Linked DNA regions of Tribolium castaneum. Each later gene encodes a partner of the first gene's protein in a complex. Links are inferred from orthologs where the notes say so. Each region holds a gene or a part of one and is shown on either strand. Other genes may lie near its edges. The genes, in order: nuclear RNA export factor 1 and Nxt1.

Region 1 (11,778 bases):
CCAGCCCCCTTAAGTAGGAGCCCCCGTCAATGGCGGCCCCATACGGCAGAATCATGAACTGCAACTCGGGGATTTTCCCGTCCTCGCTGTTGAAAAACCCGACACTCTCGCACCCTGGACTGGTCCAGGGGCCCTCCCCCCACAGAAAATACCTGCTAGCGCTCCACGGCGACAGCATTTGCTGCAGGCCCATGTCGGGGGGCGCTTCCAGCGTGATGAGGTCCAGTCCGGTGGTTACGTGGTCTTGCAAGTTGTCGCCGACTGGTAGGTCAAGTCTGGGGGCTATTTTTAATTTCTCCAAGTGTTTTTTGGGGCCAATGCCCGATAACATGAGGATTTTTGGGGAGCCGATCACGCCGGCCGATAGAATCACACCCTTGGTGGCACGGACGTAGTAGGTTTCGTCCAAGTGGGTGTATTTCACACCGTAGGCCTCGTAGTTGGATTTTAAGAGGACTTTTTCGACTAGAGAGTTAGTTATGACGACTAGATTGCGTTTTTTGGTTTTTTCTAATTGGTGGTAAGGCGTCCAGCGCTGGCCGTTACGCATTGTTACTTTAGTGGCCGAAAAACCTACAATTTTTTAATGAATTGGGTCTCTAACTGGGGGAGCCGGCGCTGTCCACTGGAGCCTTTTTGCCTTTTGCAAAATAATTTTCCGAAAATACAAAAAATACAGTTATTTCATTTAGATAGTTATAAAAAAATGTTATTTTCATTCACGTATGTCAGGACTAACTCTTTTTGCTTAGAGACATTTGAAAGTTTCGTCATATAGCTAAACAAATGGCTGAGAAAAAGATGATAACATTATAAATTCCACACAAAAAGGAAAAAATGTCGTTGGAATGTTCGAAATCACTTGGTATTGTCAGTGAGTTTCTAAATCAAAAATCATCTGGCATTGAGAATTATGTGAGATAACTAGTTCAGTTTGTTTAGAATTGACAATCAGACCTAGTTTGTTGATTTTTAAATTTTTTGCGACAATTTAAAAAAAAAACACAAAAAGTTCTCCAGCTGGACAGCGCTGTTCTAGTGTATGTACCAGGCTCTGAGTTCACCCCGTCTGATAGGCCAAAGCCGAGACACAACCCGGCTTGCAGAAAATAATCCGACAAGTTCGACTTAAACGGCATATCCTCCACGAAAACTGAACATTTGTGCTTGTTAGTTTCGTTGCTTTCCAGTTTTTTGAAGTAGGGAAGAACGTCGATCGTGTAGTTGAAATTACAGGAATCTTTATACCACTCGGCGAAGTCTTGGGGGTGTCCCCGGACGTAAATCATGTTATTTAACATCGCCGTGCCCCCCAGAATCTTCCCCATGGGCCAATGACTTACTTTTTTGTCAAGCCCCAAACAGGCATGTTTCTGGGGCACCGTTCGGTACTGCCAGTCAAAAACCGAGTCTTGTAGCATGAGACTAACAGTCGGGATTTGCAAAATGCCATTTCCGCTAGCCCCAGCTTCAATTAGCAAAACTTTAACGCTGGGGTTTTCGGCGAGTCTTCGAGCGACGATGCTTCCAGCTGAGCCGCTCCCGACTGTCTCAATTTGAGTAATTTTGTTAAAACTGGGCGTCTATACCAACCTACAATGTAATCGTAGGCCTGGTCCTTGAAATCCAGCTCTCGACAAGCGAAGCACTCAAAGTAGTTGTGAAAGTACACAAATCTAAGGTATAGCCCGAATAGATTAACAGCGAGAACGTAGACACTTATGTAGAACGCAGGGTTGGAGCAACACATTGTGTTTAATTCAATTTTACACGGAAATTTTGAAATAAAAAAAGGCCGAAAATTGTCAAAAGTGAGGTTATGCCAAATAGAAGTGAGGTTACAACTAAACCACCTGTCAAGAAGTTTATTTAAATTTGTCTGGGTTATTTAGTGCTGAAAAACACGCGTAATGTTTGATTTCTACTAATTGATTTGATGCACGTCTGTAAATATAACGTATGTTTTTAATTTAATTATGAGTCTAACTTAATTAATCGTACTTTGCCCACAGGTGTTAGAATCTGATGCAACATTGTGCTAAAATACTTATTAACTTATGGGATTTATTATTTACTGTATTAATTGCTAGATAAACGCACCGATTTTGTCGATTCTGGGCCATTGTCATAACTGAGGTTATGTGCCACATCGCCTTAAAATGACCACATCGGAATCAAAAAAAGAATTAGTTAATGAACTGAATAAGAAGTACGGTAAAGATTTATTAAATTACGAAAAATGTAAGAAGATCTATGAGCAATTGCAACAAAACAAGTCTGAGATTGAAAGACAGGTTTTTAATGCAACTCCCCAAGTTCCCACCCCTTAAAGTGTGATTTTTAGTTAAATTTAAACGATGAGTCATCTTCGATTGGTAAAGTTGTCAAAGAGGCGGAAATTGCGGCACAAAACACTGATCTTTGTTTGGAAAGAACTACCGATGTTATTGACGAAATTAAAGCAAATCTCGTTGAAGTTGAAGATGTGAGGCGAGATGTGCAGAAACGTCTTGATAAATTAAATGCCTTACAAACAACCTTCCAGTACTTTAAAGTCATACAGAGAATTGAGTTTTTGAGGTTGGTCACACTGTAGTTTTTCCCCTCGCAATAATCGAATTTTAGCGACGAATTAGAACGCGAATTTAAGAAAAAAGACGATGAGCAGTGCGTCACAATTTTTGCGAATTTGTGCGAAATCAGCCGTAATTTAACTGATTTTCAAGGTAGCAATTTGAGGAATTATCTCAAGGACACTCTACACTATTGGCACAACGTACTAAAGGAAAAACTAGCAAAGTAACTGGTCTGATTTATCATTCGAGTCTTTATCTAACATTTTAGAGATTTCGATGACGTAATGAAATCACTCAAATGGCCATTCGTTAGTGCAAACTTCAGTCTACAAACGCCCTCTCCTAACAGCATTCTGAAGCTACAAATTGTGGCAGAATATCTGCTCCAAATCGAACTTCCAAGTGAGACAATTGATCCGAGGATAACTTCGGCCCTTTTGAGCGATTTTCCACCCCTTTGTCTCCCAGTTATGCTCCTAGTCCAACCCTTAAAGAAACGGTTTTTGTACCATTTCTACGGCGCCCGTCAGACCAACAGGCCTGATAAGCCCGAATGGTACTTTACCCAGATTTTAACATGGATCAGGGACCATGCCGAATTTTTAGTCAAGTGGATTCAGCCGGTGATTGATAAATTGGGGCTCCACCACATTGACGCCAAAGTAATTTTCTCTATTTAATTGTTTTTTTTATGATTAAGTTCTAATAATAAAATTTTGTTTGACAGTTGGAATTCATCAGAGGCCTTGTACAGTTGGCTGTGGAGAAGCTAAACTCTGATTTGCCTAACTTACAATTTGACGATTTCACTTTTTCGCACTCTATTGACGAAGCTCTTGGCTTTGATAAAGAATTGCGTGAAACCTACAGTTATCCACCGACGCAGCCGAGTATTTTAGCCGTTTTAACTCAAGCTAAAATCATTATTAAGTGGATGGCTATGGAGAAAAAATGTGAGTTGGCGTGAGTTCACAGCCTCCTTAAATTTAAATTTAAAATAAGAAGGAGGTTGTGCGACCAATCGCCTAGGAGATAATTTGTTCTGATAATATTTTGTCAGATGCTATGGAAAAAATGGACGCGATGATGTCCTCAGCCACAGTCGATCCTTTCGAGCCGCTAACTTACGATATTGAAGAGCTGAAAATAACAACATGTGCCGATGCTTTTATAACGCTTCTTCAGACAATCACGGAACGTTACGAGGCATTGCCACAACCCGGCCACCGCTTGCAGTTCTTAGACCTCCAGTTAGAGTTACTGGATGATTTTAGAATAAGATTATTGCAACTGGTTAACGCGGAACATGAAAATATAGTCGAATCGAAGATCCCCACGATTGCTAACACGATCTATTACATCGAGAATGTTTTAGTTGATTGGGGGGCAATGTTGGTACGGCTGGCTCGAACCGTGCGATTTGATTGGCTGAACGCAGACTTTCAGCCAATCAAATGGCACTATCTATACTTATGCAAGTGTTTCAGCACTATTTGAATTTATACTACTACAAAAGCCAGTTGAATGACTACAAAGCACCCACAAGCCCGTCAAGTGATTCGGACGACTTTGACCCCACGGATATTGAGGGTGAAACTGTTTTTGCCGAAACTTTATCACTCTATAGGCACATGAGACGCGACTTGTTATTTAATTTATCAGATTATGTCATGTTGGAAGTCAGGTCACAAGGTAAAGCCTACAGGAGGGAAAGGTGGTCCTCTATGAATGTCGGTAAAGACATCAAAGGCCTGTCTTTAACACCCACAGCCTGCCCTATTTTCGAAATCGTGGCTAAACGACTACACCAACTGCAAAAAACTCTAGCTTCGAAACTTTTTACGATAGTTTGGCGCTCGGTTGCGCAACAATTAGATAATTACCTCTTTGAGGATCTTGTCCTTGATAATAGATTTAACACTGGAGGCGCTTTGCAGTTAAAGTATGACGTAACAAGGAATTTACTGCCGTTATTTTCGCAATATACCGAAAGGCCCGAAACGTATTTCGTCCAGTAAGTTATTTACTCAGTCGGTAAAGTGGAAAATAAGAACTGTTGCAGACTGATTGAAGCTTGCAATCTTTTAAATATAACTAAAGGGTCCGCTTTGCTACTACGAGAGACTCTCTTGGCTCTTGAGGGGGCCACAGGTATTGAGGACTCCCGCGGGAGAGCCCTCAAGGAGGTTGGGGTGGTCAGCTTCACCCCAAAAATGGCCGTTAAGATTCTAAACCAGCGCACCGACATTACTGTTAATAGGATGGACGTTGATTGAAGCATTTATACGTTTTGTTGAGAAATTTTATAATAAATGTTTTCCCCACCATTGCATTTCATTGAATCACCCTGTAAGTGAATCTAGAGTAGAGTATAAAATGTTACTTCTGGGCCAGAATATTTGGCGTCTTAAAAAACAAGTCAGAACCTTACAAATTTCCTGTACTCTACTATTCAAAAGTCGGTGATTTTCTCAGGGAATTTGGCCTCGCCTTGTTGGCAGCGCGTATCAATGGCGTTTACTTGTCGAAAGTGAAGTGGTGTTAAATCAGGCTCAAAAAAATTATTAAAAAAACAATAATAGTTATAGTTAAGTGCTAGTAAGTAATTGAGACGCTACTATGGCCTCAAAGGGCGGAAAATACAACAAACCGTCGTGGAGAAGCCAATACAGTGGTAAGTCCCCAGCACACTCCACGCGATTCGTTTAAAACGCAGTAAATTGCCAGAGCATGATTTTCGCGGCGGTGGCGAGACCCGCAAAGTGAGTTTCAAGTCAAACAAGTATAAAAAGGACAATAGAAACTGGGCAGCGGCGAGTAGGGCGTACCTGGAAGATGAAGACATTGACATGGGGGCCTCGTCCGGGGGCGGGCGAAACTTCAACCGGAAGCAGTTTAAAGGCAGACGGGGCGGTCGCGGGGACTCGCCCGTGCCCAATCACAAGAAACGGCGGCTTTTGGAGAGCCCCTTCGGTTGGTACCGCGTGACAGTAAGTGTATTAAGTGAGGCTTTTTGGGGGTTTTACACGTGTTTTGCTAGTTGCCGTTTGGGAATAAATACGAGAAGGCGTTCGTCTTGAAGACGCTGCTCGAGCGGATCCAACCTTTGCCCTTGTGGCCAATTACGGTAATGGTTTGTTTGTGTGAGGGTTTTTGACTGATTTTTTGTCTCCAGTGGAGTGTAAACGGCACAACTGCCACTTTTTACATGGATGAGTTTAAAGCCGCGGAAAAGCTGTACGATTTAGATCGCCAGATTCAAATGCCCGACGGGTTTAAATTGCTGATTAAGGTCAGTCATGGGATGCCAAATGTTGACGTTAATAGTGAGATGAAGGAGAAAATTAAATTAACGATGGCTAAGCGGTACAATGCCGCTAATAAAGCGCTCGATTTAACGAAATTCCACGCCGACCCTGACCTACAAGACAATTTCTGTGTACTGTTCAAACCGATCATTTTTCTAACAGTTTTGGAAATAATCGCGGAGAATATCCCAGAAATTGAAGCGATTAATTTATTCGATAACAAAATAGCAAACTTGTCGTATTTAAAGAAGACCAATGAGAAACTGCCCCATTTAAAAATTTTGCATCTAGGAAATAATAAGGTAATGTTGTTGCCCAAAATCGGGGATTTTGTAAATTTGGGGATTCAGTTTAAGGATCTGTCAATGTTGGACCCTTTTATTGGACTACCTATCGTCGATATTGTTTTAAATGGAAATCCATTATGCAACAAATACAAGGACCAAGAGGCGTACATTGGGTAATGTTGAACTAATTTATTTTTTGTAGTCATCATGTTATGAACGTGAATGCATATGAGGGTGACTGGTTATCGGAGATTGTCACTTGAATAAAAAAGAGGTTTTCTGCCAACAATGGAATAAAAGTACTTGAAAATTATTAACGAAATTTGTTGTTACGCAAATTTCAAAGTCCCAAATTTTCGCGATAATTTGTTTAAAACTTAAGTAGCATTACATGTGGCTTCGTTGCATTGTGGCTGAATTCTGCATTTGGCAACCTTTTAATATTATTGTTTGACTATAATTAAGTCACTGAAGTGTATAAAAATAAAAAAAAATCACATACAAACATTTCCATGGGATTACATAATTTTTGTTTTGTATTATCAAAGTGAGAGGAGGTTTCTCAAAGGTGCGTCCTTACAGCAGTTACGAAGCTTCGTAAAGCGATAGCTGGACAAGCATTGCAAGATTTTGCTGTCCATAAACAATGCAGTTAGTTTAAGAAGACAGAAGAACTACAAGGAGTGGACCAGAACACTTAAATGTGTATGTAATTTGGCAAAAATGCTTGTAAATCAAGCAGATTGTCTTGTTTTTCTGCACCTTAAACAATCAATGACTCCTCATAGTACAATAATTATTATATTTTTTTGTTTTATGTAGTAATCTTATGGAATTGATACAAGACATAATAATGAAAAGAAATACTAAATAATACCGTTAAAAAATTGAAAAATTATATGCTCTTCAGTGGCGATTTATTCTAAATTTATTAGTTTTGTTGTTTAATGCAGGAGTAATATAAATTGTTGATCGTGTAATGCTGTTTTAGTTTTAAATTTACGAAGCTTGTCTTACTTTGAAATTGTGTAACAACTGTCTGATCGGTTGCAAAATTCCTCGGAGGTTTAATTCCCAAAATAACAAACTTCAATAAATTTTGATTGTTTAACACTTTGTACAAAATTAGATTTTCGTAAGTTTTTGAATTAAACTGAAGAGGGCACAAAATACTGGAGCTATTGTATCCTATTTTTTTTCAAATAAATAATGTGTTAGGAAATGAGAAGTGGCTGAAAATACGGTACAAAAATCACTAACTCAGAATTTGTGACTAAATCAATTTCCGTTCCTAGAAAAAAAATCAGCATAAAGCTGTATTTATTCTTTTTCATTTACATAATAATTTTTTTTTCGCCCAAATACTTCTTGAATGAGTTTATCCCACTAATTCACAATTGTAACATAGTTATAATTCCGTTCCTAGAAAAAAATTCAAAATAAAGCAGTATTTCTTCTTTTTTTATTTACATAATAAAATATTTACAACATATTTACATAATAAATTATTTTTGCTTAAATACTTGAATGAGTTTCAACGTTTCATCAAGGGTGGATTTTATAATCGTCAGATAAACCCCAGATAATTTATTTCTAGTATAATTACTATGGTTACAATTGTTATAACAATGTATTTTTCAAAATTTATTTCTTAGATAAAGTAATCCTACGATTGTAAAATCCGCCCTAAATGAAAGATAAAAAACGAAAAAGGGATGTCCCTAAGGGTGCTTCATCCAAATTGGAGCAGGTGTATAGTACAATAGTATCCTGTGGCACCATTAGGGGATTAGATAGACTGGCTTTTTTGCAGAACTTTGTGCTTCAAGACTAGAATAAAATCCTAAACGATTATAAAAGAAACAAAGCATGTTCCATTGTCCGAAATCTAATCGGATTGATTCCGAATTCTTGAAACGTAGCGAATAGTTCTCGTGAGATTTTCAAGTATTAACGTGTTGAGATCTTTGTCAATTCAAGTTAAATGTACTCGAAGGAGAACGTCTTCGATTTCCTGATCGTCACAAATTTCTTATTAGATTCTAGACATCTTCATTAAATTTTCTTGTTTTGTTCGTTACGAAAATAGTCACACGTTCTGAGTTTACGCTTCTCTTTTCTGTCACATTGACTCGCTTAAATTTCGATCAATTTGTCAGTCTGATTCCATTTTGACTAAAACCTCTTGTTTTTCATCTAAACATAAATGCTGAGCAAATCTGCCACCTCCATTGTTAACACCTTCGGGTGACTTCTTCTCTTTCCGCAGTGAAGTCCGCAAACGCTTCCCCAAAGTAATGAAACTGGTAAGTTTATTTAATTTGCTTGTTCGCCTCTTCATAAAACCATTCAAAGGACGGAATCGATCTACCCCCACCCATAAGTTTCGACATTCAGGAAGAAACCCACTTACCACCAATCCAACAAACATTTTTATGTAACCAAGAGGGCGAATCAATAGTTCGACAATTCCTCGAACAGTATTTTCTAATTTTCGATTCGGAAAATCGCCAACCCTTGTTACAAGCATATCACGAAAGCGCCCTATTTTCAATGACCATGTCGTACCCGTACGGACACAGAGACAAGAATGCCAGTTGGCTAAACTGGTACACCACTGATAGCAGGAATCTGCAAAAGGTCCAAGACCCGGATCGGAGAAACAAACTACTGAAACAGGGCCAAGTGGCTGTTGTTTCATTTCTGCAAGAAATGCCTCGGAGTAAACACGATATTCACAGTTTCACGGTTGATCTTGTTGTTTTTACGGTAAGTCGAATTTTGGTTTCGTCAAGTTGGTGATAACGTTGCTTCAGCCATTAATGATCGTTTTAACGGTCACTGGGATGTTCAAAGAACTGAAAAGCGGACACAAAGTGCCTCCGACGCGAGCCTTTTTCAGAACACTCGTTATAGTACCTGCAGGCTCAGGTTTCTGTATCTCGAATGAAACACTGCATATTACAAACGCCACCGACGAGCAAGCCAAGGTTTGTCGATTAATAACTTGAAGAAAAAATGTTGTATTGTACTCGTGATTTTTTTAGCATATTTTCAAGACTGTGGTTTCGGCGCCGCCCCCGACTCCGGTGGCGTCGCCTGTGGCAACCCCTGCGCCCATTGACGACTCCACGAGGCAACAGATGGTCACCGCAATGGCCGAACAATCCACCATGAATTTGGAGTGGTCAAGGAGGTAAAATATAGATGTGGATTTACGTTTGGCTAATTTGATTACTGCCAGGTGTTTGGAAGAAACCCAGTGGGATTTTACCCGAGCGTTGAGTGCGTTCGCAGATGCGCAAAAACAAGGACTAATCCCGCCTGAAGCGTTCGTGAAATAGTGAAATAAATCGAATTAAGTCATCATGTTGTTCTTTTTATAAAATTTGTATTTGATAATGTTTATCATTAGTTTTATTACAACTGTAAATAAAAACACTCGATTATGTTTGTGAATGAAGCTTAATTTCAATGAGACTGTGTCAGTTATTTTTATAATAAATAGTGAATAACAGGAGTGTTGTTTTATTTGGGGTGATTTATGCCAGAAAAGTGTGTTATTTAACACACTTGTGCGAAGGGAATACGAAAGCTCTGCCTCATTTAATATCAGAAACATAAAAGAGTAATAAGTGTCAAGCGGAGTTATTTATTGGATAAGGGGTTTGGAGTTAATGAAGCTATTACGTTTATATTTCGATAATTTTGGGCTTGGAGTTATCTGATTCAGGCCATATTTCGAATTACTGGGTGATTTAGGACTGTCTGCTGCGTGAAAATTAGACCAATATTTTTGAACTTGAGGAAATGCTTAATTTAATTTATGATTGCTAATTTTTTATTATTACATAATTACTAACTCAAGGTAAGTTTGGGAAAAAATACACAATTGTTTATCTCAGGAAAAAATCTTCAATAAAATATTAATCATAACATTTAATCATAATTCCCAAAATGACTGGGAGATAAAGACAATATTCAGAAATACGAACTGAACAAGACTTTAGATTATTTGCCATTAAAAAATAAGACAGAAGCCTGAAAATATGGCTGTTCTCCCAAAAGAAAACAACTGAAAAAGGCCTCAAACCCTTCAAAAATCATTAATTTTTATTCACTCTTAAAGTACCTAAATATCTGAAGATCCAAAACACTTAGAAAATGCCTTGTAAACACAAAAACTTCCCAGATAACATTGGTGAATTCACAATAAATTCACAGTGGAGAAAAATGCTCTACAAATGAGTTCACGATGAATTCAGATGCGAAGTCACCATGAAATCACGCGTGAGACATTTTTCCTCACTGTAAATTCAAATACATCTTTTTTTATTCAAAAAAACACCCCAAAATGACTTTTTCTCTGGGCCAGGACATTTGGCGTCTTCAAAAAATAAGACAGAACCCTGAAAATTTAGCTGTTCTCCCAAAATAAAACTACTGAAAAAGTATTAACTTTTATGCACCCCAAAAGTACCAAAAATTGGGCGGTGTTTTACAAACAATAACGAAAAATAAAAAAAAACATTTTTTCCTGTTTGTTGAGAGAATTTTAGTCGTTTTTTTCAACCCTCCAACTTACAGCTTAAAAACCCGCTTAATAAATGAATTTAAATTTTTTGAAAGGTAAGTATAATGTTACAGGGTGTTACATATCCAAGTAATATAGTCAAATTACGCAAAAAGTTGAGACGAAAATAATAAATGCCTAAATTGAATTACTTATTTATTATTTATTACTTATTGTAGGGTTTAGAAAGATTCTTCGTTTATTTAATTTTTATATCTCAACCACGAAAGTATCAAAACAACAGTTATCTAATTGTATGAAACACAGTTCGTGTACAAACCGCATATCAGTTACATAAATTACAAAAACCGGTCGTTTTACTCAACTTCAGTGCGACGCAAACTTTCCCCCAAAACGAAAAAAGACTCGAGCATTAATTGTTGCAAAAGTTTCTGGTTTCAGTTCATTAATTACTTCAATTAGCTCTATTTTCCCATTCCAGGGTAAAGTTTTATAGCTTTTGTACAAAATTAATCCGTCGGCAAAATTATTCGAATCGATATTTTTTGTGGAATATGTGAGTGGGTGTTAATTCCTGACGCCGCGTCACCGGCTGACAATCCCAGTGAACCAAAGCCCTTGCGTTTGCATTATTCACCCCCTCTTGTCCATTTTAATAATCGTCTATTGCAAAAAAAACAGGATAAATAATTCAGCGGTTGTAAAAATGGTGGATGCGCCGGGCGAGCGTTCAATGAAATCGCCAGTTTCAGTTTCTAATCCTAGTTCGCAGCGCGGCTTATCACATCTAAGACCTCGTCCGTCCCGTCCGTAATCGTTGGCGGCGTTTACCATCCCCTCGGGCATTGAAACTTTGATAAAAGCAAAGCCCAGCTTCGATCGAGCTTCCGAATTGCGCGTAGCGATGCGCGCCACTCGCAAGCTCTGCCCGGCACCTCAATGTTTACAGACTTAATCGGTTTATTGCCGCATTTTATTGTTTTATCGACGCTCCGACGATGCCGTCGACGCCTCTAAACAACCTCTAGACGTTCCGATGACGCGTAAACAAGCATAATGTGAGTAGTTTCATT
Region 2 (10,151 bases), on another chromosome or scaffold:
AGTGGCGTGCGTCACGCCCTCCCAGAAAGGTAAACAACAACTTTCCCTCTTAATTGCGCTCAATTAGCAGGCACTTATGACTACATTACGATATTAAGAATATATTAAGAATGAGCAGATATGGTCTCACTAGCCTACTGTTAAAACTGAACAAGTTGGTGCCCCACTCGAGTCAAGCCAACCAAACCTCAATGTCTCAAATCAAAACGTTCGTTTTCCTAGACCTGGAGACCACCGGTTTGCCCCATTTGGAGCACAACAAGACCCGAATTACCGAATTATGTGCCGTGTCGGTCCGAGCGGACCACATCGAGCTCGGGTGCTTCCCCCGAGTTCAAAATAAATTGTCCTTGTGTTTCAACCCTATGAAGATGATTAGTCCCGAAGCCACCTCCCTGACAGGTAATTCGCGCTAGATTTTATGCGAAAAAGTGCATCTGGGCTTTCAGGGCTCTCGAACGACTTGTTGGAGTACCAGGCGAGTTTTTCGAGTGACGCAGTGGACGTGATAAGGAAGTGGTTAGAGATGAATCAGAAACCGATTTGTTTGGTTGCACATAACGGGAATCGATTTGATTATCCAATTCTGAGAGCGGAGGTCGAAAAAACGCGGAATAAATTACCAGAGGATATTCTCTGTCTTGACTCTCTTAACGCATTTAGAAGCATTGATACGTTAGAGGCAGAGGCGGTGAAACAGCCACCCAAAGGAGAAATACCGTTTGAGTTTAACGACGGTTATGATGAGCTTTTAAGCCAAGCAGTGGACGAGTATGAAAAGCAAATGAAACTCACACCTGAACAAGTACAAAAAATTAACGAAACGACGCCACAAAAACAAAAGATTTGCTCAACAACTGGAAATGGGGGCCCTGGCGCTTCAACCAAACGTAATTTTGGGCACATTAGGTATGTTTATCTATACATGCTTCTGCATGCTTCTATGCTTCTGCGAAATTTGACTTTGACAGCTAAGTTAAAAAAAAAACAAAAATGTTAACGTTTAATGAAACAAGGGACGCTCCAAATCACACAAAAATATCCCGCTTTTTCGCATAAGAGCAATTTCAGAACTCGTGAAAACCAAATTAAATATACAGGGTGACTATTAAAGATTGTGATTCAGGTTGGCAACAAACTTGTAATTTTACTTTGGCAACCTTGCCTCATAGGCTAATAACTAATTTTTTTTCACAAAATTTTATGTTTATTTTAAATTTTATAGATCTAATATTTTTTAAAAATCTAAATTCGATACCGTTGCTAAGGAAAACAAATGAAAAAATTTATAAAAAAAAGTTGCTTGAAAAAATCTGACTTCATTTTTGTGCTAGTATACTATAACTAATTGTGAAAATTTCAGGGAATTCGTTAGTTATAAATTGGAAGATGTTTACAAAAGACTGACTTCTAAAGAACCAATCAGTGCACATGAGGCCGAAGGCGATGTTACGATGCTAGTCACTTGTGCGGCGGTTTATGGCGAAAAATTCGTCAAATATGCAAACGATAATTCGAAAAGACTGTCAGAAATTCCAGCCATGACGCCCGGCAGAAGAATTGGATTTTAATGATTTTATCATTTTTTTATTTTATTTATACTGACTAATATGTGTGTTATGTAGTGCCTTATTTTTGGCGTAAGTATAAGAAGGATTATTGATATGTAAATTTAGCTTTTAATATGTAGTTTTTTTTTCTAAAACTTCTGATCAAAGTGACCTGTGACGTTCGGTTTGACTGTTTATGTTGCCAACTTAACTTCACTAAGGCCACTTTGATCAGAATCTTTAATTTTATTTATACAAGAATGTATAAAAATATTGATTAAATAATGACACAACTTGAAGTTTGGGAGGCCGGTAATGCAGGTAATGCCTCTGCCATTACATCCTCTCCTTGAATATATTTGGTATATTCCTCCTTGGTCACTACAAACGAAAATTGAGTCGTATGACTTTTTTCTCCTAAAACTTACGTAAATGCTTGGCAATATTCTCTGGATTATTTTCAATATCTTTGATAATGTAACCGATCCGGTTACTGATATTATTCAAAGTTATTGGCGCTAGATGCCCTATTAGATTGTTTTTTCTGCACCAGTAGTAAGGAATTGACTGGTCTGCGATAAATTCGTTGTACTCTCGCAATGTGGTCATAAAAACTTCCCTCAAGGATTTATTCCAAAAACTCTGATCTTTCTGCTCAATGATATGTAAAAACACAGTCTTAATGTAATAACTGGCAATGTTTGGGTGCGTCTTCTCCTTCAATTTCTTAAAAAAAAATTAATACTAATGAAAGCCAGGTTTGAATCGCACCTTGATTAGCTTAACCGCCGGTTTTAACCGATTTTTATTATCGATCAGCACTCTTTCCTGCTCCTGGAACGATAAACTCCAGTAGCGTCCTTGGGGATTCACCGGTCCTTGCGGTTTTTTCGGAACAATGAAAAATTCCGGCTAAAATTACAATCAATGATTTTCTCTCTCAAATGACATTAACCTTCGTTGACGGGAAGGGGTTGCTTCTGTAGCCATTAATCGGCCATTTGTCTCCAGAAAAAACGAAACAGGCCACTAAATCAACGTCCATAATTTTCTCCCCTGAACTGTGGGAAATCCCCAGTGTCATTGCAGGCCCGCCTTTCCACCAATTAATCTACAAATAAAATAGTTTTGTGTTAAAATAAAATTTAAAACAACCGTACATGAAACGTTCCAAATTCGTTTGTTAACTCGCAGGTGGCGTTGTTAACCCAAGGCAGCGTGTTTAGGGTTTTCTGGACCAGGCTTTCCATCCAACGTAGTGTTTTCCCAGTGTCTAGGAAATCGTTATCGGCTAAAAATTTTTTTCGAAAGTCTTTGTAAACCCGCCCTTCCGGTTGTCTCAACCACCCGTCAAGGTTGTTTAATTTGAGCCAAACAAAGCCCGGAACGTTGCTTTCATTTAAGACGGGCTGAGCATATATAGGAATGTGCAAAAGTATGTCCAGGTCAAATTCTTCAGGCTTGCCAACCTTCAAACCGTCATAAAAACTACCACCGTAGAAAACGCGCCTGAAGAGGGCCTTAAAAAGGGGGTCTTGAGTCTTCATTTGCTCAACAAATGTGCGCAACACCTGGAACAACTCGTTTTTTTTTGGAAGATGACTTTTTGGTACTTACAGATTCAAGAATTTGTTTGTTACCGCGTACATCTTCTTCTGGAAGTGAGATAAATCTCTTGTTGATGTCGTTCAAGATGTTTTCCATTTTGACGCAAAAATGTGGCAAATAAATTGCTAACTATAAAATTAAAATGCACGAAACTTGACCTTGCAATGTTTCAGTGTTAAAAATAGAACAAATAACAACACAAATGGTCTAAAGCTTTGTGTGATTCCTGGAACATTACCTAACTCTTGCTTATCATTATCACAATTAAATTACTCTTGATAATATTAAAAAGCACATTATCTGCGAACCATACAAATAATAATATTTTTACAATTGATTGGAGTACGTATAAATAAATGGGAAATAAAAATTACAATAGAAGTTTCACCATCTTCTGGGCTTGTGGCCTAAGGTCATTGAATTTATTTTTCTATTTTAGTATGTTAGGCCCTCTATCATTGAGTAGCAGAACGACATGCTCTAAATTTCGGGACATTTGCATTCAGTGTCGCCAATCTGGCGCTTTTTCAGCTGCAGAAAATGTCCTTGTATTTTTCGAAATAACTTTTAATCAAATCATTTTATTGATTTGCCGCAGTAGCAACATTTCGTAAAAAATACTGCATTTTGACCAAATTTACTAAATAATGTATTCGATAAAATTTACTGACTTTTTCAGAAGTTTTTGATTAATTTTGCAAAACATTTCGATAATAAAATAATAAATAAATAATAACAAGTGTTTGTTTTTTTCTTTTTTAGACTTTTTAATAAAGAAGACTATAACTTAGGAGGCGCAGAATTTTCGGAACCCAAAAAAATAGTACGGCTAAGTTAGAATGAGGGCGCCAGATCGATTTAAATTAATTTAAATCTTACCAATTCATTAGTTATATAGAAAAAAATGCAAAAATATTAAACGTTGGAGATTAAAATTTTTGTTAGAAAATGAGAAAAAAACTATTTTTTTAAAATATGGTTGGAGTTACTAGAAAAATATTAAGAAGAAATTTGTAGAAAATTACACGTTTTTGAAAACTTTCCAATCTAGTGGCTTCGCTACTGAAAGTTTGGCAATAACTTAAGGCGGCTTCACGCATTCTTTTTTTACGTGATTTCCATTAATTATGTATGGAAAATGACCACGTTTTTACAATTATTTTCACCAACAGAAAATTTGCATTGTAACACTGTTTGAAATTGTCTTACGTTGTGTGAACCTTACTTTAGACTTTACACTGACGTCATCACCAGTTTTCGCGCCTTTTTCGCCCAATGACCGCAACACGCATGCGTAAAGCGTTTAAACTGAGCAACAATCCCAAAACGATCTATAGCTCTTAAGTGAAAAGTGATTTTCCATTTTCGAGTGATTTCGAACTGTTTTTAACTAAATAAACAAAGATTTTCTCTAGTTGGAAGCACCAGTTGACACCAGTCGTTTGTGGCAATGTCTGAAATAAAAACTTTCGTTTTTTTCGACTTGGAAACCACCGGTTTGCCCAAGTTTGAAGAGAACAGGACCCGAATCACCGAATTTTGTGCAGTGGCAGTTAGAGCAGATCATATTGGACTGCAGACTGCACAGAAATGTAAACTTCCAAGAGTTCAAAGTAAATTATCTTTGTGTTTCAACCCTGCGAGGGCCATTTGTCCTCAAGCCACCAAACTAACCGGTAAATTATTGTCTCCTATTTTAGTGTGAGCTAAAAGTGTGATAATATAAACTTTCAGGGCTCAGCAATGAATTACTGGAACACCAGGCACACTTTTCGAGTCAAACCTTGAATGTGATAAAAAACTGGTTAGATGTAAATGAAAAACCAATTTGTTTGGTTGCACACAACGGAAACGAGTTTGATTTCCCAATTCTGAGGGCAGAGATCGAAAACACTGGCGAAAATCTCCCCGAGGATATTCTCTGTCTTGATTCCATTATCGCATTTAAAGAGATTGATACTTTAGAGGGAGGGGCGGTAATAAATCAACCAAATGAAATAAAAATACGAAAAATTGAGTAAGTAATGATGTTTATAATTGTTGACAATAACAAAAATTTTTTTTTAAATTTCAGCACGAGTTATAACTTGGGACATGTTTTTAAAAGACGCCTTTCCAAAAGACCACTCAATGCCCATGGGGCTGAAGGCGATGTAAACATGCTACTCGCTTGTGCGGCAGATTATGGCCAAAAATTCGTCAAATTTGCTAACGGGAATTCGACAAAATTCTCGCAAATGCCAATTATGAAACCAAAGTTTTGATTTTTACGACATTTTCATTAACACAAAAATGTTTTTTATGCTTTTATAATAACTGATTAAAGAATGTTGCAACTTAGTGTTTGGTATCACTGGTATAGTTCCCCTGCCCTCGCAAAAAACACTAAATTCTTCCCGTCTCAAAAAAATTACCCCCCGATGAAAATTAACAATTACTGTGAAACTGCTAGAAGTAGATTTTTACAATATTATTTCAAAAATCAATAATCATACAAAATTGAGCGTTTGCGGTTAAATACTTTTTCATACTTTTTTTTGAGCTCTACAATAAGTCTCAAATTATTGTCCAGCAATAAGTAGGGCTTACAGCTTCATTACCGCGTAGTTTAATACCCTTGTTTTTCTTTAAAAAATAAAAAAATGCTTAATTACCCGCATTATTTAAATTTCCCGCCGACGCAAGCTTTGACGCGCTTGCGCATTGTCCCAAAACAAATTTGTGCAAATAACCTCACTTTTTTGCCCCCAATGTTTTAATAATTTTGGCGTAATTACAACAAATATGACTCAGGTAGCGTCAAAAATACGACCACCAACACTTTGCCTCTCCAATTACTTAATTTTACAGATTGTTAAAAGCAAAATCGACCAAGCTTGCCGGGTGGCTGAGGAGTTCACAAAACTTTATTACGAAACTTCGGACAAAAGGCGACACGTAATTCGCCCCCTCGTGCGTCAAAACGCATAATTGAAATATTTTTTTTCTTCAGTTGATGTCGAAATTGTATCTGGATTCGGGTCTCCTGGCTTGGAACGGCAATGGGGTGAATGGTAACGAACGCATCCAGAAATTTTTCATCGATTTGCCGACTTCCGATCACATAATTAACACTTTGGACGCGCAGCCTGTCTTGGATTCGGCGGTAAATGGCCAGCTCACGTTCATGATCCAGGTCAGTGGAACGGTAAGGTACCAGGACAGGGTCCCCAAATCCTTCCAGCAGAATTTCATAATCACAGCGCAGGGCGATAAGTGGAAAATCGTAAGCGACTGTTTCCGACTGCAGGAGCCCCTAACTAACGATAAGAGTTGAAAAAATAAAAGTTTGTACGTTGAAACTCCATTTATTTCGTTTCATAAAAACAACAGGTATAAAATCCTTAAGCTACATTGATATTAAAAGCAAAGCGTAATGCCAGATTAATTGAAATGATACAATATGTACAAATAAATAAATGAGCAAAGTAAAAACAATCTACAATTTCAGTCTCAAGGGTTCGCGAATTTGGACTTTGTAAATCAAAGGAATGTGTTATCAAAACCAGTTCGTTACAGGGCACAGCCAGGACAGCTATTATATACAGAGTGAACATTTTCAGCCTTGACTTAAGGCAAAACATTTGAATTGTGCCGGCGTGATCACATTATTAACCTGAAATGTGCGGTAACAATAACTGATCCACATTTATTGGAGGACTAAAATTTTATACAGGGCGATTTTTTAAAACACAGGCGCTGGAGAATTTTTATTTATGGCCCGATTTCAAACACTAAAAATTACTTTTAATCGAGTATAAGCTGATACTCTTGTTAAAGTAATTTTGGGCTTATAATATTCAACTTTTTCTTTTTATAATCTAAAAAATATTAGTTTTTTTGTTCTCCTTTTGTACCTAACTTCTTTCAAAAACATTAAACAGAAAATCTCACCTTGGCACATAAAATTTGATCAGTTGTTTTAAAATTTATTAATTGTTACATGATTAATTGAAACATTATTTGCCTGAAATGTTTGGACGTGTTTTTGGTTTTGATGAACTTAAAAAACATGTTTAAACCTTGGAAACACACATTTTTGGCTCAATTCCGGCGATTTTTTTTGGCCATTATTTGGCTAAAAAACTGCTTAATAAATGCTATTTTGAGTGAATGCTTTACTCATTTCGGAGAAATTTTCGCAAAATCACTGCGTTTTTAGCCTACAAGATGAGTAAACACTTGAAACACGCAAAACTGAACAATTTCTGGTTGAAAATTTGCTAGATAGCTCTGAAAATCCAAAGAAAAATTTTTTTGTTTAGATTATAAAAACAAAAAGTTTAAAAAATGTGCCCAAATTTCCAGTAAAATAATTGGGTTTGTACCTGAAAAATGTCCTAAAGGCCATAAAATAAGCAAATTACAACTTTTTTTTATTTCGGGATTTTTCACCAAATTTTACTTATCAATTGAAAAATTATGTTCAAAAAAGCCAAAATAAAGCAATCTTCCACTGAAATTGATGATTTTTTTTGTTCGAAAATCCTAATATTAAAAACAAACTTAAAAGCTTGCTTCAATTATCAAAGAAGGCAAAAATTATCGTTTTCGAGGTTATTTCATGATTTTTGGGAAATTAACGCAAAAGGATTGGCTTCAGAATATGGTTAAACGCATAATAAATTCAAAACTAACTTCATTTTCAGTCTATTCGGTTTATTTCGCAAAATGACTTAATATTTCGATACATTTTTTGTTCACTTCTGAAATTTGTGTTTTCGAATTAATTTGGTGGAAATTCGGTTTATTTTTACAAAATTTTGCTAAAAGATGCTTTTCTGACCAAAAAATTATGCCCAAAAAAGAGAAAAAATATACTTTTGACTTGAATTTTTTCATTTTGAAAAATGTGTCAATTCTAAGCTTAAAACTGTACTTAAACCTCTACAGAAGACAAAAATTCACTAACTTCCACTCATTTTATTGATGTTTGATTGGTTTATTCGATTTTTACGAAATTTTGCTAAACGATGAAAATAATATTTTTTTGACTCAATTTTTTTTCGTTTTGAAAAATCTGTTAATTCTAAGCTCAAAAACTGTGATTAAACCTCCACAGAAGATAAGAATTCACTAATTTCCACCCAATTTATTAATTTTTGATTGGTTTTTGCGAAATAAATGCCGAAACAATACAGAACTAATTAGATTTTTTAATGAATTAATTTGGTAATTTTTCTATAAAAATTTGTCAAACAATTGCATTTCGGTTGGAAATCATTTAAAAAAGGCAAAATAACTCAATTTTAGTAATTTTTTTTGGTTCAGTTTTTGAAAATTCCACAAGAAGAATATATTTTATGCTTAAAAATATCTTTAAACTCTCATAAAAAGCAAAAATTACACCATTTGGAATAAAATCCAGTTGCATGGTGTCAATAGCTTTCTTTAAAATAAATTATTTTAGTTAAATAACAGATATTTGAAAAAATATTTTTCATACTTTCTTTTATTTACTACTTTTAACACAACAATAATGGCATTGGTTTTAACTTTTATTACTTTTTTCAAATCTATAAATTTTTTGTCAAAAAAGCTAAAATGTTTGAAATTATGAAAAGAAAATGGAAATTCTAATTTAAAATAACAAAGTTGTTATTTTACAGCCCAAAATATAAAGTGACGTTTAATGATTTTTTATTTTTTAAAATTGGGCCATAAAGAAAAACTACAGCGCCTGCCATTTTTTAAAAATCACCCTGTATATTTTATACAGGATGAATGGTGGTTTAATTCTGAAATGTCAGAAATAACCCATAATTGACTCACCCTGTACACATACTTTAGACCAAAATAGGCATTTAATATCATTGGCCCAAAACAGCAACAGATCTCTGAAAAAAAAAACAAACAAAAAAATTACACAGATACAGCGACGCTTCTCAGTCGAATTTCCTAATTTTGCTCTTCTGGGGGTACACTGGCGACGTCTAGATCAGGAAGCCCTCCTCCCACCGCCCCCTCGTCGTTATCGCCCCCCGGGGGCATATCCAAGGGGGCCATATCGAGCGGTGGCGGATCCGAAATGGTCACTGCAACAATAGGATTCCCTCTGGCGTCCAATTCCAAAGCTGGATCAGCGGTGGCTTCTGCCAGATTTGTGACACTTTTTGATTTAACACACTGGAAGTCAACGTGACGACTTTTCGCCTCCTCTTTCTCCCACGACATGTGGATGAACGGTCTTTGGACGTAATTGTAGATCACTTCGGCCCTGCCGCCTGGACGCTTCTTCACTTTTTCCTTATAGGTTGGATAACCTGAATTTGGAACACGACGCGTAACGGAGGGTTTTAATAAAATTAGATATACAGGCTGCTCAAAAACTGGCGCACCAACTCAGTGGTACGTTATTGAGAAGCAAGTGCAGATTACGGGAAAAATGTTGAAAAAATTCCTAAAGTTATATTTTAAAAAATCTGGAGCTACAAACTTATTGTGTTAACTTCTTTAGTTTTCATTATTTTTTTATGTTTTTATGTTTCACACCAGGTAATCGTTCCGTAACAAAACGATGAATAATTATTTTTAAATTTACTCTCAGATTTTAGCAGTTTTTTTAATTTAAAAAAATTAAAATTCATCCAAAAAATCACAATGTGTAGATGTGTCAACACTGGGAATTATTTCCTAGGAAACCGTTTCAAAAATAATTTATTTTTATTGTTGCTCAAATTCGGAAATAAAATTAACTAGACGCCCTCTGGTGATGACTTTTGAACTATGTCGAAAACAGTAAAGAAATTTTCGTAATGCCACATTTAACTGACATTTAATGAATTGTTCAACAATTTTGCGTGTATAGTGTTAATTATTTACAATAGAAAGAATTACTTTAAAAGTACGTGGTAGTAAATACTAGCGTTGACTTTGGTTCTGTAGTTTTTCGTGGTATAAAGTGTTTATTGTTGGAACTTGAAAGTGGATAAAATGTGAAAAATATTTAAATTT

What was found.
Region 2: the proteins of nuclear RNA export factor 1 (region 1) and Nxt1 are in contact, whole or in part, in a crystal structure (PDB 6IHJ), measured with the Drosophila melanogaster proteins. The link is inferred for Tribolium castaneum from reciprocal best matches to the Drosophila melanogaster genes sbr and Nxt1. Residues at the interface, in NP_524660.1 of Drosophila melanogaster: Leu359, Leu360, Glu361, Thr362, Lys363, Ala364, Ser365, Tyr366, Met404, Leu405, Ser406, Ile407, Ser408, Met409, Pro410, Gln414, Arg426, Asn427, Leu428, Arg429, Arg438, Thr439, Leu442, Tyr444, Thr467, Val468, Asp469, Thr471, Ile472, Met477; in NP_611833.1 of Drosophila melanogaster: Met1, Leu5, Val9, Glu10, Ala13, Asp17, Arg21, Thr43, Ser45, Trp46, Asn47, Gly48, Asn49, Gly50, Ile52, Tyr60, Leu64, Leu71, Asn72, Thr73, Leu74, Asp75, Ala76, Gln77, Pro78, Ile79, Val80, Asp81, Leu91, Met93.

What each region holds. Positions count from the first base shown.
Region 1 is NC_087399.1:3,667,135-3,678,912, forward strand, and holds nuclear RNA export factor 1, read left to right. Parts: upstream 1-5,058; 5' UTR 5,059-5,195; coding exon 5,196-5,250; intron 5,251-5,303; coding exon 5,304-5,566; intron 5,567-5,616; coding exon 5,617-5,703; intron 5,704-5,751; coding exon 5,752-6,186; intron 6,187-6,234; coding exon 6,235-6,344; intron 6,345-8,440; coding exon 8,441-8,477; intron 8,478-8,526; coding exon 8,527-8,940; intron 8,941-8,987; coding exon 8,988-9,161; intron 9,162-9,218; coding exon 9,219-9,367; intron 9,368-9,415; coding exon 9,416-9,515; 3' UTR 9,516-9,688; downstream 9,689-11,778. Other genes in the region: alcohol dehydrogenase [acceptor], read right to left, coding at 1-573, 1,049-1,546, 1,594-1,750; Rint1 (RAD50-interacting protein 1), read left to right, coding at 2,160-2,294, 2,345-2,580, 2,626-2,799, 2,845-3,238, 3,304-3,529, 3,637-3,971, 4,064-4,590, 4,639-4,852; uncharacterized protein LOC656535, read left to right, coding at 11,762-11,763. UniProt on the Drosophila melanogaster protein: Mediates the export of the majority of mRNAs from the nucleus to the cytoplasm. In ovarian follicle cells, plays a role in transposable element silencing regulation by enabling the nuclear export of flamenco (flam) transcripts and subsequent piRNA biogenesis.
Region 2 is NC_087394.1:2,875,531-2,885,681, reverse strand, and holds Nxt1 (NTF2-related export protein), read left to right. Parts: upstream 1-5,837; 5' UTR 5,838-5,942; coding exon 5,943-5,951; intron 5,952-6,008; coding exon 6,009-6,095; intron 6,096-6,150; coding exon 6,151-6,474; 3' UTR 6,475-6,504; downstream 6,505-10,151. Other genes in the region: three-prime repair exonuclease 1, read left to right, coding at 111-402, 450-909, 1,364-1,571; cyclic GMP-AMP synthase-like receptor, read right to left, coding at 1,828-1,931, 1,979-2,276, 2,322-2,462, 2,506-2,661, 2,711-3,121, 3,168-3,254; three prime repair exonuclease 2, read left to right, coding at 4,609-4,834, 4,893-5,175, 5,233-5,422; mri (BTB/POZ domain-containing protein 10), read right to left, coding at 9,096-9,460.